Linked DNA regions of Oryzias latipes. The protein of the gene in region 3 purifies or fractionates together with the protein of the main gene of each other region. This does not show direct contact. Links are inferred from orthologs where the notes say so. Each region holds a gene or a part of one and is shown on either strand. Other genes may lie near its edges.

Region 1 (4,286 bases), on a different chromosome or scaffold from region 3:
TGCTAAAAGCATTGCTTGCGGAGGGTGTGGGGGGTCATAGTTTTAATCGATCTGCATGGCAACAGACCCAAGTGGTTCAGGTTGATCTTGCAACTCATTGATTTAGACGGTTTATTAACGGTAAGAGTATCTTACTACACACAGAGGCATGAAGGCAGGATTACCTGGAAATGGGAATATCGATTGCACCAAGACACTAAGGCTCAGGTTTTAAATAAAGGGGGAAAATTGGACATGGGAATCATGTCAATTGTGAAAATAATAAAATACTGTAACAATAACAGATTACTTTATGTTGCAACATGAAAAATGTCTCTTTTAGCATACAGATAGTGGACCATCCAGACTACTCATGATTTTTGTTAAAGACCCACTCCAATGAAAATATACTTTCTGGTGTTTTAACATGTTCTTGTATCATTTTTTCTCATGATGGAGGTCATATAAGGAAAATCAAGCTGTAATTGTATTTCTGCATATTTCTTTATTCAAATTGATGTCAATCAGGAGCAGACGTTAAAATGCCGTAGGAAAAAGCAGGTAGCAGTGACATAGTCTACAGTCGGCAGGCCAGAAGCTGCCTGCGCTGCTCCATTCTGATGCATCCACTTGGAGACAAATAGATCCATATACAGTATGTGTTCGTTTTTCTCCTCCAGGCTGAAATGTAGCTCAAAACTGTGCGCCTGGATAGCTCCGATATTGCTCACCACTTTTTGTGCAACACAAATGTTAGGTTGGGGTTGTGAAGGGCTGCAAGCTGGAGAGCACCTAAACAAAGGGATGATGGAAAATGAGGGCACCAACAATCCTGTCCACAACTCAGAGGCAGAGTTCTAATGACCTACTACTGCTCTGCAGAAACCATGTCCTTGAAAGCGACAGTTGTTTTTATTGGGTTAAAAATGGCATAATCATAACTAAAAGACCAATGGGAATGCTTTTACGTAAGATCAAAAGATGATTGGAATGGGACATTAAGTCATTCAAATATCACAATTCTTTTAAAAATCATTGTCATCATATCTTAACTAAAAAATAGTGTTAAAAATGGCAATTAGTTTTTATTATTCAGTTGATTTTTGAAAAAAGGTAAATATAATTTTAGTTACATAATTAATTTGCTTGTTGTTTAAAACGGCCTTGCTTTAACCCTTGTATAGCACAAGGGTTAAAGCAAGGCTGTTTTAGGCACTTTAACATTGGGAGTTGGGTCATCTAGACCCACTAGACAGTGCTCTGAACCTTTTTTCTTCAATGATTTGTGATCTTCACTGGTGTCCATGGATTACATGAAATCTTTACACCTTTATCCTCCTTTGTCATGGTAGGACAACACGTCAATGTAAGGGTGGGGTCATCTAAGTTAGCACAAGGGTTAAACAAAGGAGAAGCTGAATTGGCGACATTTCATGTGCAATTCTGAATAATAAGGGACCTTCCGTATCTGTCCAGCAGATGGCGCTGTCGGTCCAGTTCCACAGTTCCGTGACGATAGTCCGGATCCAGGAAGAACAGCTCATTTCAGCAATTACAGCTTTTTTTTCAAGCTCTGCGATTCGTGCTAGAGCTGCGTCCTGAATGCACAACACGAATACGCTGCTGACGAGCTGTGAACACGTGAGTTAACGAGTTGTTTTAAAATTGACCAAAGTTGTTTTGTATTTTACGATTTCTTACCAAAAAAAAGCGACAAAAATAAATGGTTGTCACCCCCCCCCCCCCCCCAGCCGTTTCCGTCGTTGTTTACACCGTAGCTAGATGCTAGCTGTGCTAACTGCTAGCATTTGGTGTTTTGACAGGGCGTCAGTGGAGAACTTTCCGATCCAGCAGGGAGATGTTTGACAAATACGGACCTTTGAGCTTCTTAGCTGCTACAGTCGTGACTGTGTTTCTTCTGGATGCTGGTGCTGTTGCAGACGCTAAGGTGAAACAAGGGAAATGTGTTGTTTTAGCTTATCATATCCTATGACAATCATCCTGGATACTACTTCTTGTGTTTGCAAAATACATATTTTTATCATAAATATTTACATGATAATCCATACTTTTTTTTAAAATCAATTTGTCTAATAAATGAAATCAGGGACACTTCAGTTCTGATTATGCTTTCTGCTGTATTGTAAACAACTGTAAATAAACCCACGTGGCTTGTTTCAAAGTCCGATCTTTTTGACTGCTTTATCAGACCCGGATGAAGAACTAATCACCTGAATCAGGTGCAGCCTGGAACAGGGAAATAAGATTCACATGCAGCCCAGAACCAGGATTTAAAACTCTCTTCTTATTATCCTTGATGTTGCAGAACTTTGAAGATGTTCGCTGCAAGTGCATCTGTCCACCATACAGAAACATCAGTGGGAACATTTATAACAGGAATGTTACCCAGAAAGATTGGTAAGATCACTTTGTTAAAATGTATTTACTATTATTTAAATAATATCAATTTAGAAACAGTTTGGGAATTGGTTTAGTTACTTTTTATTACTTAATTGACACAAATGCTGACTTTTTGTCTGCATTTTCATGAGGTTGCCCTACACACTTTAATCTTACCTTGCAGGTATAAATATTAACGAAAACCTTTGCTTTCATTGCAGTACCTGCCTCCATGTTGTTGAGCCGATGCCAGTTCCTGGATATGATGTAGAAGCTTACTGTCTGCTGTGTGAGTGCAAGTATGAGGAGCGAAGTAGCAACACCATCAAGGTACTACAGGCTTTCATTTGATTTCGGTGGTTTGTCTCCTACAGTATCCTCCCTCAAAGCAAACGTCCTTCAAAATTCCTTGGGCAAAACCCTTCGCGCTACCGCCTAACTGTGTTGCCACAAGGGGCCCCAAGTCTGGGTCCCCCTATGTTGGTTTCCAGCCCGGATAAAACACAGGCTGGTGTCAGGGAGGGTATCCGGCGTAAAAATCTTTGTCAGACTACGTGTGCAAAACAGTGAAAGCTGAGTCGCTGGCGACCCCTGAACGGATTTGCTGGGGTCTTCAAACTATACCTATTATGACACCTTTTAACCAAAAGACCCAGAATACCAGTTTTTATTGTTTGAAGCATTTTATCTTTGTTTTGTTGCGTTTTGTATTGTATTGCCACAAAACCTGTCATTTATTGATTTGTGGGAAAGATACACCCCCCTACTAAAAATAAAATTGAAATGCTTGTTATGTCCTGTTTTTGTGATGTGCTGCAAAATGACATCTTTATGTGACCCGTTTGCTAAATGTTCCAGGTAACCATCATCATTTACCTGTCGGTTGTGGGTGCATTGCTGCTCTACATGCTGTTCCTGCTCCTTGTTGATCCTCTCATCCGGAAACATGACCCCTACACTCAGCCTCTGCACAACGAGGAAGACAGTGAGGTAATCATGCAAAGAAACATCACATGTATTGGTGTACATTATGAATGCCGCCGGTTTTAACATACGTCTGCGTTTGCAGGAGATGCGTCCGCAGGCAGACAGCGGGCAGGCCAGAGGAAACACGGTGCTGGAGCGGGTTGAGGGAGCACAGCAGCGCTGGAAGAAACAGGTCCAGGAGCAGCGAAAGACCGTTTTCGATCGCCACAAATTGCTAAGTTAAACTGTCAGCCTGAGCTTAAAACCCGGTTTAGAGTAAATGACCTCCTTGAGCTCAGACCAGCGGCACTATCACAAACCAGCACAGCATCCTCTGGATCAGTATTTTGACAACAAGAAACATATTAGCATGAACTTCTAACAGACTTGAATGTAATGGGCTTTAGGCTGGAATATAAACTAATCTCATTTGTCGAAAAATTAAAACCATTTTTGCGCACTTTAAAAGTAAAAATGAATGCTTGAGTTTGAAGATCATCTGTTAACTTTTTAATAACTAGTAAATATTGGGCAGTTTGCTTATTGCTCTATTTAGAAATTTACCTCACAAGTGGTACACTGGTTTCATTTCAGCTTGCCTGCTTAGACAGTTGCCAGGCGTTTCTTCTTCCAAGCTTAGTAATATGAAATAGTTTATGTAAAAACGTGAGCATCTTCTTTTTGCAGTACCGTGAGTTCCTTTCTGATCTTTTTTAACCTCATTCTGGGTCTTTTCCCTTCTCTCTGTGAGGGAAAATGTGTCGAATGGACTCAAAAAAGATGTGACTGAAATACCAGCACTAAAAAGCTTCAAAATCACTGGATTGTTCTTTAATTTAAGTATTTTGTTTCTGCACTTGTATGAAATAATATATTCCAAAATTCCACTTTGAGAATGTTTTTATTTTAGTTTAGAAAGAGAACTGAACTTTGTCATTTTG
Region 2 (4,054 bases), on a different chromosome or scaffold from region 3:
CACAAGGAGAGACAAACTTGGTGGGCGAACAGACATATATTGAATGTCAATGGTACTGTACATAGATTGTATATCTAGTTTTAACAGCCTTATTTTACTGGATTTGATGCATTTATGACAGAAGTACTGCAAAATGTAAGAAACTAATACAGCACAACTGTTTTCTTGGGAACACTAGCACTGAAAAGAGGTAGTCTCGCCACAAAAGCATTTATTTTGATGACTGTATTGTATATGATGTAAAAAAAGTGTTGAGAGTTTTAGCTACAGATGTTGATGACCCATGTGTTTGGTTTTCCAAGGTGTCTGGATAAACGTAATGGTTCTATAAACCCCTAAGCTTTTCCAGCTATTATCTGCTTTCACGTCAGTCAAAGATGCTTCTGTAGACACCCTGAGATACTAAAGCATGTCATGTCTGTTTCTATGAAAAGTCCTGTAAAATGCTGCTGAGCTACTGACCCATCTTAGATGCGATGTGTATGTATATTTTATGGTTTTGTACATCTAATAAAATTGTAAATAAAGATAGGACTCATATTCATCATTTCCTTAATTACCAGAAAAGAACCTTATTGTTTAGTGTGCACAAATTTCATTTGACATTAGAGTTTAGTATGCAACTGTTTGTCTATATTTGTCTGCTTAAGAAAAACACCAAATAAATCATTACTTGATTTAACTTGCAACACATTATTTAGCCAAAACAAGGTGCATTTTTTAAAGAAAATACAAATATAGGAAAGCTTATGCAGCACAAAAAATAGACCAAGTAACAAATTAAACATAAAAAACAAAATCAGTTAAGGTTAAGCTTTTTTTTATTTTAGACAATTATTAAAAACTTTGCTTCAAATGTGATGACTTTTTTTAAAAATAAATATGTAGTAAATCTGTGTTGTGTGCAAGATACTTTTTAAAGTTACTTCTTTAAAAATAAGCAGTACTTTGTAAAATTTTCACCAAAATAAATAAACCCTTTAAGTGGAAGACGGGTTTAGACGGCTGTCGTCAGTCATTTTAGATCTCCATCTCATTCTGTTGTATTTTTCGTACATGATCATGGCAGTTTAACAAACATGATTTATATAAAAACATAGAAACTAATAAGTACAAAGTAAAAATATTTTTAAAATCCCCTAAATATGTCATGTTTCAAATTCAAAAGACAAATTGTAAACCTCAATAGTTCTTGAAATAAAAAAAAATGTAATATTTCAAATGTCCGCGTCTTAATGTTTGCGGAAGTGAGCCTCTATTTCCGGAAATGACAAGTCAGCTGATGTAGAATCTGCTTATCCTCTACTTGGCTCTACGGCGGACGGCGTCGTTTCTTAGGGTGCATTCGTCTTTTCTCCTTTGTCCCGCAAAAAGAGTCCAGCAGGGTTTGAGTTACTGCGACGATGAAGCTGGTGTTAGCTGCCGAGGCTGCGTGTTTGGCGTGTTTGGTGCTGCTGAGCCAAGCAGCAGCAGCAAAGGTAAGGCTAATGCTAGGCTAATGCTAGCTGACAGCACACAAAACATGGGCGAGTAGCTTACTAAACAGGAATTACACGTCTTAAAATTCTGTCAGCGACAGACACCTTCCCCTTTTTGTTGCTCGCGTGCTTGGTCAGATAGATAGATAGATAGATAGATGGATAGATAGATAGATAGATAGATAGATAGATAGATAGATAGATAGATAGATAGATAGATAGATAGATAGATAGATAGATAGATAGAGATAAAAATGTTGTCATGATTAATTTCTGTTAAGACTTCCTTACTAAAATGTTAATAAATGTGCTATTTCTGATCAGTTGAACATTTTTTTCCTTCTCTACCGAGTTACAGAAAATCTACCTTTATTAAACACAGCAAACGCCAGAAAACAACTGTCCCCCCTTTTTCTTTCATAAAAGCAGACATTAAAGGGAATCTTTGCTATTTCAAAACTACATTTATATGTCAGAAGAATAATAATAAAAACATAAACAGGTACACCAAAGCGAAACAGAAATGCTGCCAACATCCATCAGAACTATTATTTTGGAAACTTTTTTTGTTGCTACTTTGGTGTTATGTACCTGGAAGCTGGATTCCTGTGTTTTTAGTCTCAAGTCTTTTGATTTCTTTTGGCAGCATGTTGTTTCATCATAGAAACTCATACTGTGTATGTAATTATTCCAGAACATCGTTGGTTTTAGCTAAGAAGATCTAAAGCCACCATGCAGTCTTAGGAAAACACTCATTTTTACATTAAAAATCTTTAAGATCCAAGATTTTTATTTTAGCAAGATTTTGAACTATTTCAATAAATAGTAATTACTTCAGTTGTATTATTTTATCCTGTTATTGCTTTGCAAATCTATTTTTTGGTAAACTACAAGTTATAAACTTAATTTTTTGATATTCTTAAAGCTGCTGTGATAACATCACACAAACATGTCAAAACAAATGTCTGAGTTCAATCGACTGCTGCATTTAAAACTTAAACACCTGCTTGACGTAACTTTTACAGAATTCCGAAGACGTTCGCTGTAAGTGTATCTGTCCACCTTACAGAGGCTATGAGGGACATATCTACAAACAAAATGTGTCTCTCAAAGACTGGTATGTAACCAAATGCCATTGTATGTTCCCCCCCCCCCCTTGCTGAATCTTTATCATATGGATGATTTTGTCTCTTAAGTAACTGCCTCCATGTGGTGGAACCGATGCCAGTGGACGGCAAAGATGTGGAGGCCTACTGTCTGCGCTGTGAATGTAAATATGAAGAGAGGAGCTCAGGGACTATAAAGGTGAAGTCAGATTATTGATTTATTTTTTATAAAGTGTCTCTCAGACTGTGTGTGTGCTGGTTTGTCTCTGTATGTACCCTAAAAATGTAGATCTTTTCTGCCTTTAACCCCATGTTTGCTGGGATGGACTCCAGCAACCCCTGTGACCCAATTTAGGACACAGAGGGTTCAGATTAAGGATGTATAAAGTTTTTGATTATTCTTTACATTGCAAACATTTCCTTTTTTTTAAAATACTAATTTGTAGATTTTTTAAAAGCTGGTATTCTCCCTTTTTATCTTGCATATAAACAACAGGGGTATTTTATTTTTTATATGTGACAGTTTCTGACTTTGCACTACTTTTGTATGAAAAGTATTTATATTTATAGTTAAATATAAATATATAAAGAAGTTTAATTTGATCAAATTCAAGGTTATGGAAAATACTTGCTCAACGTTAAATGTGAGGCATGCTATGATTTCTGAGTATGTTTTTTGTTCTCCCTTCTCATGTATTTAGTTTACCATCATCATGTACCTGTCCATTTTGGGCCTGCTACTGCTCTACATGGTGTACCTGACTCTGCTGGAGCCCATGTTGAAGAGGCGGCTGTTTGGACACTCGCAGCTTATCCAAAGTGACGATGATGCTGGGGTAAGTGTTCCTAGCAACATTCAGGAGTCTCAAGGGCAATATGTATAGTTGTTTAATTTTTTTTTTCTGTGAATTTTAGCAGGTTTGATACTTTGAATGGTCATAGTCACAAGACTTGATCAGTAAATGTTCTCCCTTTGCACCAACCATCACGTGGAAGTTTTTCATGCAGTACGAGTAAAATTTAACAAGCTCTTGTAAATCAGTGCCGTACTTTCCCACTCCTTGGGAGGCTCTGAGAAATAGAAATCTGTGCAATCATGCAAAGAAATGTAATTAGGTTGCCCTCTAACAAGTTTGGACTCCTTTGCATGCACTGTAATTTACCAAAATATGTTATTTTCATGCAGATTTTACAAAAAATTAAATGCGATATTCTAGCAACATTGGCTCAGATTGCGGCAGTAGTTCTGTAGAATTGTGGTGAAACTGGAAAGTGTGTCATCTATACATTTAGATACTGTGTTGCGTTCACTTAAGGACTGCCTCCAGCAATCTGGCCAAGCTTGGAGCATTTCCTGGACTCACATCCAGAACCTCTTACTACTGTGCTGCTGTGAATCACATCACATTATCTTTGGTTTAAAATGGAAAAGTTTTACATCGACGGGACTCAATTTTTTGCCTCAGGGAT
Region 3 (4,247 bases):
CCAGTTCTTGAAGATGATCCAGTCGTGGTGGTGGTACGCCATCTGCTCCACGGCAATCCCCACGATCCGCCCAGCGATGGCTCCAACGGCCATGCTGGGGATGAAGAGACCCGACGGGATCTGAAAGCAGACAGAAGAACGTTAGACTCCAGCGATCACCACAACCCAGACCCGGTTCCTCTCACCGACCTTCATGCCGAAGGTGAAGATGGTGATGACGATCTTGAAGATGAGGGCGAGGGCGAGCTGCCACAGGGCGTTGTAGACGCCGGGTCCGGCGGGCCGGTCGGGGATGTCGTCCACCGGCCGGCTCATGTTGGGGTTGTTGATGTAATCGCAGAGCTGCGAGGATTCCAGCGCCCCGCAGTCGTTGAAGAGCTCCGAGATCAGCTCGCTGGTGCTGCGGCGTGTGTACGGGTTGGGATACGCCAACACGGCGGTGATCCCCGTCACGGCGATCACCTCCAGCACGGGATACTTCCCCAGCTGGGTGGTCTTTCGCCGGCGGCACCAAGCAATGTTGGCGCGGATGAAGAGGGTTCCCCAGAGGCCGCCAAAGACGCCCAGAAGGATGAAGGGCACCAACTCCGCCATGTACCAGGGAGTGTGGTATTCCACGTAGAACAGAACCAGCCGGCTGTTTCCGAACGGGTTGATGGAGCGCAGAGTGAAGGCGGCGACCAGAGCGGCAAAGAAGGAACGCCACAGCGTCTTGAGAGGGAAATAATAGCTAACCTGCAGGAGAGGAGTTTGATTAAAAATCGCTCAAGTGGCAAAAATTGCAATAAATCACAACTTCTAAGATACCTCCTCCAAGCTGAACAGAACTCCTCCGATGGGCGCTCCAAAAGCCACCGAAACTCCAGCGGCGGCCGCCGCCGACAACACCTGCAGGAGAGAGACGGGGTCAAGTGGAGTTCAGCCAGGACGAGCGGCGCCATCGGCATACCTCTCTGCGTTTGCCCTCGTTCTTGCTGTACTTGGAGAAGAGGCTGCAGAAGAGGTTTCCACAGCAACAGGCCACGTGGACCAGAGGGCCCTCCTTCCCCAGGCTGAGACCCGACGATACCGCCAGAACCAGGGTGACGGTTTTGATCAGCAGGGTCCACTTTCCAAGGTAGCCCCGAATAATGAAGCCACTCAGAATCGTTTTAATCTTAAAGAAAGAAAAAGACCTAATTGTTCGTCCACACACATCCTTTGATTTATACCCTGGTTCCAAACATTAACTGTTAAGAGAACTGGAATGAGTGGCCCCTCCCCCCTCGTGTTCCAAATAGAAGGCCCCAGACCGTCAGTGGTGGGCTGTGGCCTTCTAACAAGTTCAAACATGATCAGCAAAAATGGTTGCCATGGAAACCATGTCCTACATGGATGCGGACTAATCACTACTTACTGACGATTACATGGCGGCATCCGTATCACCGAAAAAAAATGGTGACTGAATTTGTTTGGAGCTGGAAGTGAGCCCTTTTCTACGGGTGACGTCAAGCTCGGTCCAGTTCGCAGATACAGTAACCGTGCGTACCTCTGGGATCCCCGAACCGCAGGCGTACGGGGCAAAAACCCGAACCAGCGACACAGCCAGGAAGGAGAACAGCAGAGCCCACAGGATGTACAGGAAGTAGTTCAACAGGTACGCTCCGGCTCCCTGAAACGCCACAGAAAATAGCTTAACCGATCAGATGTTGACCCTCAGTACCCTACAAGTCTCTTCTTTTCCGGATGACAAGCTCTGACCTCAGAATGGCCTGTCATGAGCTCCGCCCACTTCTGCCACTGCGGACACTTGTCGCGGTCGTCGAAGGTGGTCTCGTTGGAGGTCCAGCAGCACTGCTCGTGGCTGTACCAGAAAGCAGAGAGGCAGACGCCCTCCTTCAGGTCTGTCATCCAGTCCACTGCCAGGTCAATAACGCCGGCCAGCGTTCCTACGGAGATCAGGAATACGCCGCCATCTTTGGTACATGCGTAAAACCTCACAGATGATACCGATTCAATCTGACCTTAATCGAACTGACCTGAGAGAAGACCGATGAGCAGCATCACCACCCATCCTGACCAGGCATCCAGCAGGCCCTTTATCAACTCCCAGAGGGACTCCTTGCTCTTACTGGTGATCTGGAGGAGAAAATATGGTGATGAGGAGCCAGAACACACCAAGATCACAAACCCTAACCAGCAGATGCCGGACCTTCCGGTGCCGGTCCGTGTCTCTGGACTTCTCCCGCAACCAGTCAATGGTGTGGAAGTCCTCGTACGTGCTGACGTCAGGGAAAGGTTCATCCAAGAAGTCCATTAAGGTTGAAGCTCCGTTGATCTCCTCTGCGGGAGTGGTAGTGGCGCTGCCGCCTGGCGGACGACAATGGCATTGCACTCAGGTGGAAAATTCCCAATTTAATATTTGAGAATGAAACAAAAATCCTTAAAATGATTATGATGATGACACGCAGCGTGATTATTGTGAGACAAAAACCCTGTCCCTGATCTAAAAATGTCTAAATAAATTACAATCTAAGAACAGAGAGATCATCTAGCATCTTTATTTACGTTAGCTCCCGAAGCTAACGTTAGCATGTGAACACTGATAAACACTTTTTTTTTTTTTACCTTCACCAGCCTCCATGTTTTGGGTCCTTCCTCAGCACCGGAGATTGTAGAAGTTCCTGTTAAACTATGACTTCATGTACAGCAGTTAATATCGGACACAGGATTTAGACATTTAGAAAGAAACTGACCCAATGCAGCTGACAAAATGCAGCTCAGCCTGATGGTCTCGCGATACCACCGTAACTTCTCGTTTGTTGCGTTCAACTAGCAGAGATCGTCTATTGTTAAAACCTTTTACTTGGATGACGAAAAAACGGAGCACCAAGTGCGGATTTGTGAGAGCTAAGAGAAGCGTTCAGGAAGACACAACATATAATACTTTAAAGAAACCGATGTTCTGCAAGTTCAGCCTGGAATTTAACCAAAAACGGTAAATTCTTGATGTTTATTTTAAGATCTAATGGATCTTTGTTGTTGAGCATGTCATGGAATTGAATCAAACAGAAATGAAGATACTCCACGTAAATTAGTAAAAGGGCACATCTGGTCTTGTCATGTCAAATCTTTCTAAAGTTGCTTCATTTTAAGATGACACAAAACTTTCACTGGATTATTGTTGGTAATGATGTTCACTAACATCACAGCAAGTTTGAAGGAACATGACTGGAGAAAATTAGAGAAATTAAAGTTATAGGTCACCTAAGCATCCTGCCTTTATAGTTTGAACCATCCAAAATGCCACTATTTTCAAAGATGAAGCAAAACTTTCACTGGATTATTGTTGGTAATGATGTTCACTAACATCACGGCAAGTTTGAAGAAAAATGACTGGAGAAAATTGGAGAAATTAAAGTTATAGTTCTCTTGGTAATTATTTTCACTAATATCACACGTTTGGAGTTTAGGATCACTTTCCTTTCTAATTTTCTTTACATATTCTATCTTTATATTTTCTCTACCATTTATCTCTCGAATATATTTGTCTGAATTGCTTTGAGAAATGTAAGTTGGAAACAAACCACTTATCACTACTCGTCAAGCTTCATTCAAAAACTCTTGGTCATTCAACAAGGTGTGGCTTGACAGACAATTAGGACCTCATACATAAATAACCTCAGTTTTTCAGCTCCACTGCCCACTTTGGTATTGCCTAGACTAGTGTGAGCATATCAAAATTCCTGGATTGTTGGTTTGCAGGACCTTAGATTTTTTATTGAATTTATTTTGAGAAGAAAAGGGTAAGTGTTATTTTTATGAGGTTTCACTTATTTGCCTCCATCACTATTTACATTTGAGTTATGCCAAATATAATTAACTTGATAGACATTGTGAAATCTGAATCTGCCGTATTAAAATCTATGTTCCAAATATATGTAGAAAGAGGTTGTGCAATTTGCTGTACAGCTTAAAAGAATTAGAAGTTCTGATGTGTTTGTCTTTCTACAAAGAGACTTTGACCTACAAAGATTATTTGTGTGGTTTGAGGCTCTAGTTACAGTCAAAACCTTATGTATGTGCTTGTCGGTATTGACACACCAATTGCCAGTGTACCTTTTTTTTTTTTTTTTTTTTTTTTTTTTTTTGTGCTTGCAGGTTTTGTGCGTTTTCCACATTTGGAAGGGTTTGTATAACATCAATATTTCACCCTTTGGAGCAGTAGAACATAGTTGGCTATTTCTTTTATTGGTCACATTGTGCAC

What was found. The genes of interacting proteins can lie anywhere in the genome.
Region 1: the proteins of H(+)/Cl(-) exchange transporter 4 (region 3) and tmem9 purify together in Homo sapiens (co-immunoprecipitation; 3 studies listed by BioGRID and IntAct, with this or other methods). This does not show direct contact. The link is inferred for Oryzias latipes from reciprocal best matches to the Homo sapiens genes CLCN4 and TMEM9.
Region 2: the proteins of H(+)/Cl(-) exchange transporter 4 (region 3) and tmem9b purify together in Homo sapiens (co-immunoprecipitation; 3 studies listed by BioGRID and IntAct, with this or other methods). This does not show direct contact. The link is inferred for Oryzias latipes from reciprocal best matches to the Homo sapiens genes CLCN4 and TMEM9B.

The regions. Positions count from the first base shown.
Region 1 is NC_019865.2:11,958,141-11,962,426, reverse strand, and holds the start of tmem9 (transmembrane protein 9), read left to right. Parts: upstream 1-1,484; 5' UTR 1,485-1,620; intron 1,621-1,802; 5' UTR 1,803-1,837; coding exon 1,838-1,927; intron 1,928-2,305; coding exon 2,306-2,397; intron 2,398-2,600; coding exon 2,601-2,709; intron 2,710-3,237; coding exon 3,238-3,369; intron 3,370-3,448; coding exon 3,449-3,589; 3' UTR 3,590-4,286. UniProt on the Homo sapiens protein: Transmembrane protein that binds to and facilitates the assembly of lysosomal proton-transporting V-type ATPase (v-ATPase), resulting in enhanced lysosomal acidification and trafficking.
Region 2 is NC_019861.2:19,775,390-19,779,443, reverse strand, and holds the start of tmem9b (transmembrane protein 9B), read left to right. Parts: upstream 1-1,252; 5' UTR 1,253-1,403; coding exon 1,404-1,478; intron 1,479-2,503; coding exon 2,504-2,595; intron 2,596-2,674; coding exon 2,675-2,783; intron 2,784-3,285; coding exon 3,286-3,420; intron 3,421-4,054. UniProt on the Homo sapiens protein: Enhances production of pro-inflammatory cytokines induced by TNF, IL1B, and TLR ligands. Has a role in TNF activation of both the NF-kappaB and MAPK pathways.
Region 3 is NC_019860.2:10,457,592-10,461,838, reverse strand, and holds the start of H(+)/Cl(-) exchange transporter 4, read right to left. Parts: upstream 2,805-4,247; 5' UTR 2,624-2,804; coding exon 2,608-2,623; intron 2,350-2,607; coding exon 2,192-2,349; intron 2,119-2,191; coding exon 2,019-2,118; intron 1,929-2,018; coding exon 1,741-1,928; intron 1,652-1,740; coding exon 1,529-1,651; intron 1,157-1,528; coding exon 950-1,156; intron 889-949; coding exon 808-888; intron 736-807; coding exon 190-735; intron 121-189; coding exon 1-120. UniProt on the Homo sapiens protein: Strongly outwardly rectifying, electrogenic H(+)/Cl(-)exchanger which mediates the exchange of chloride ions against protons.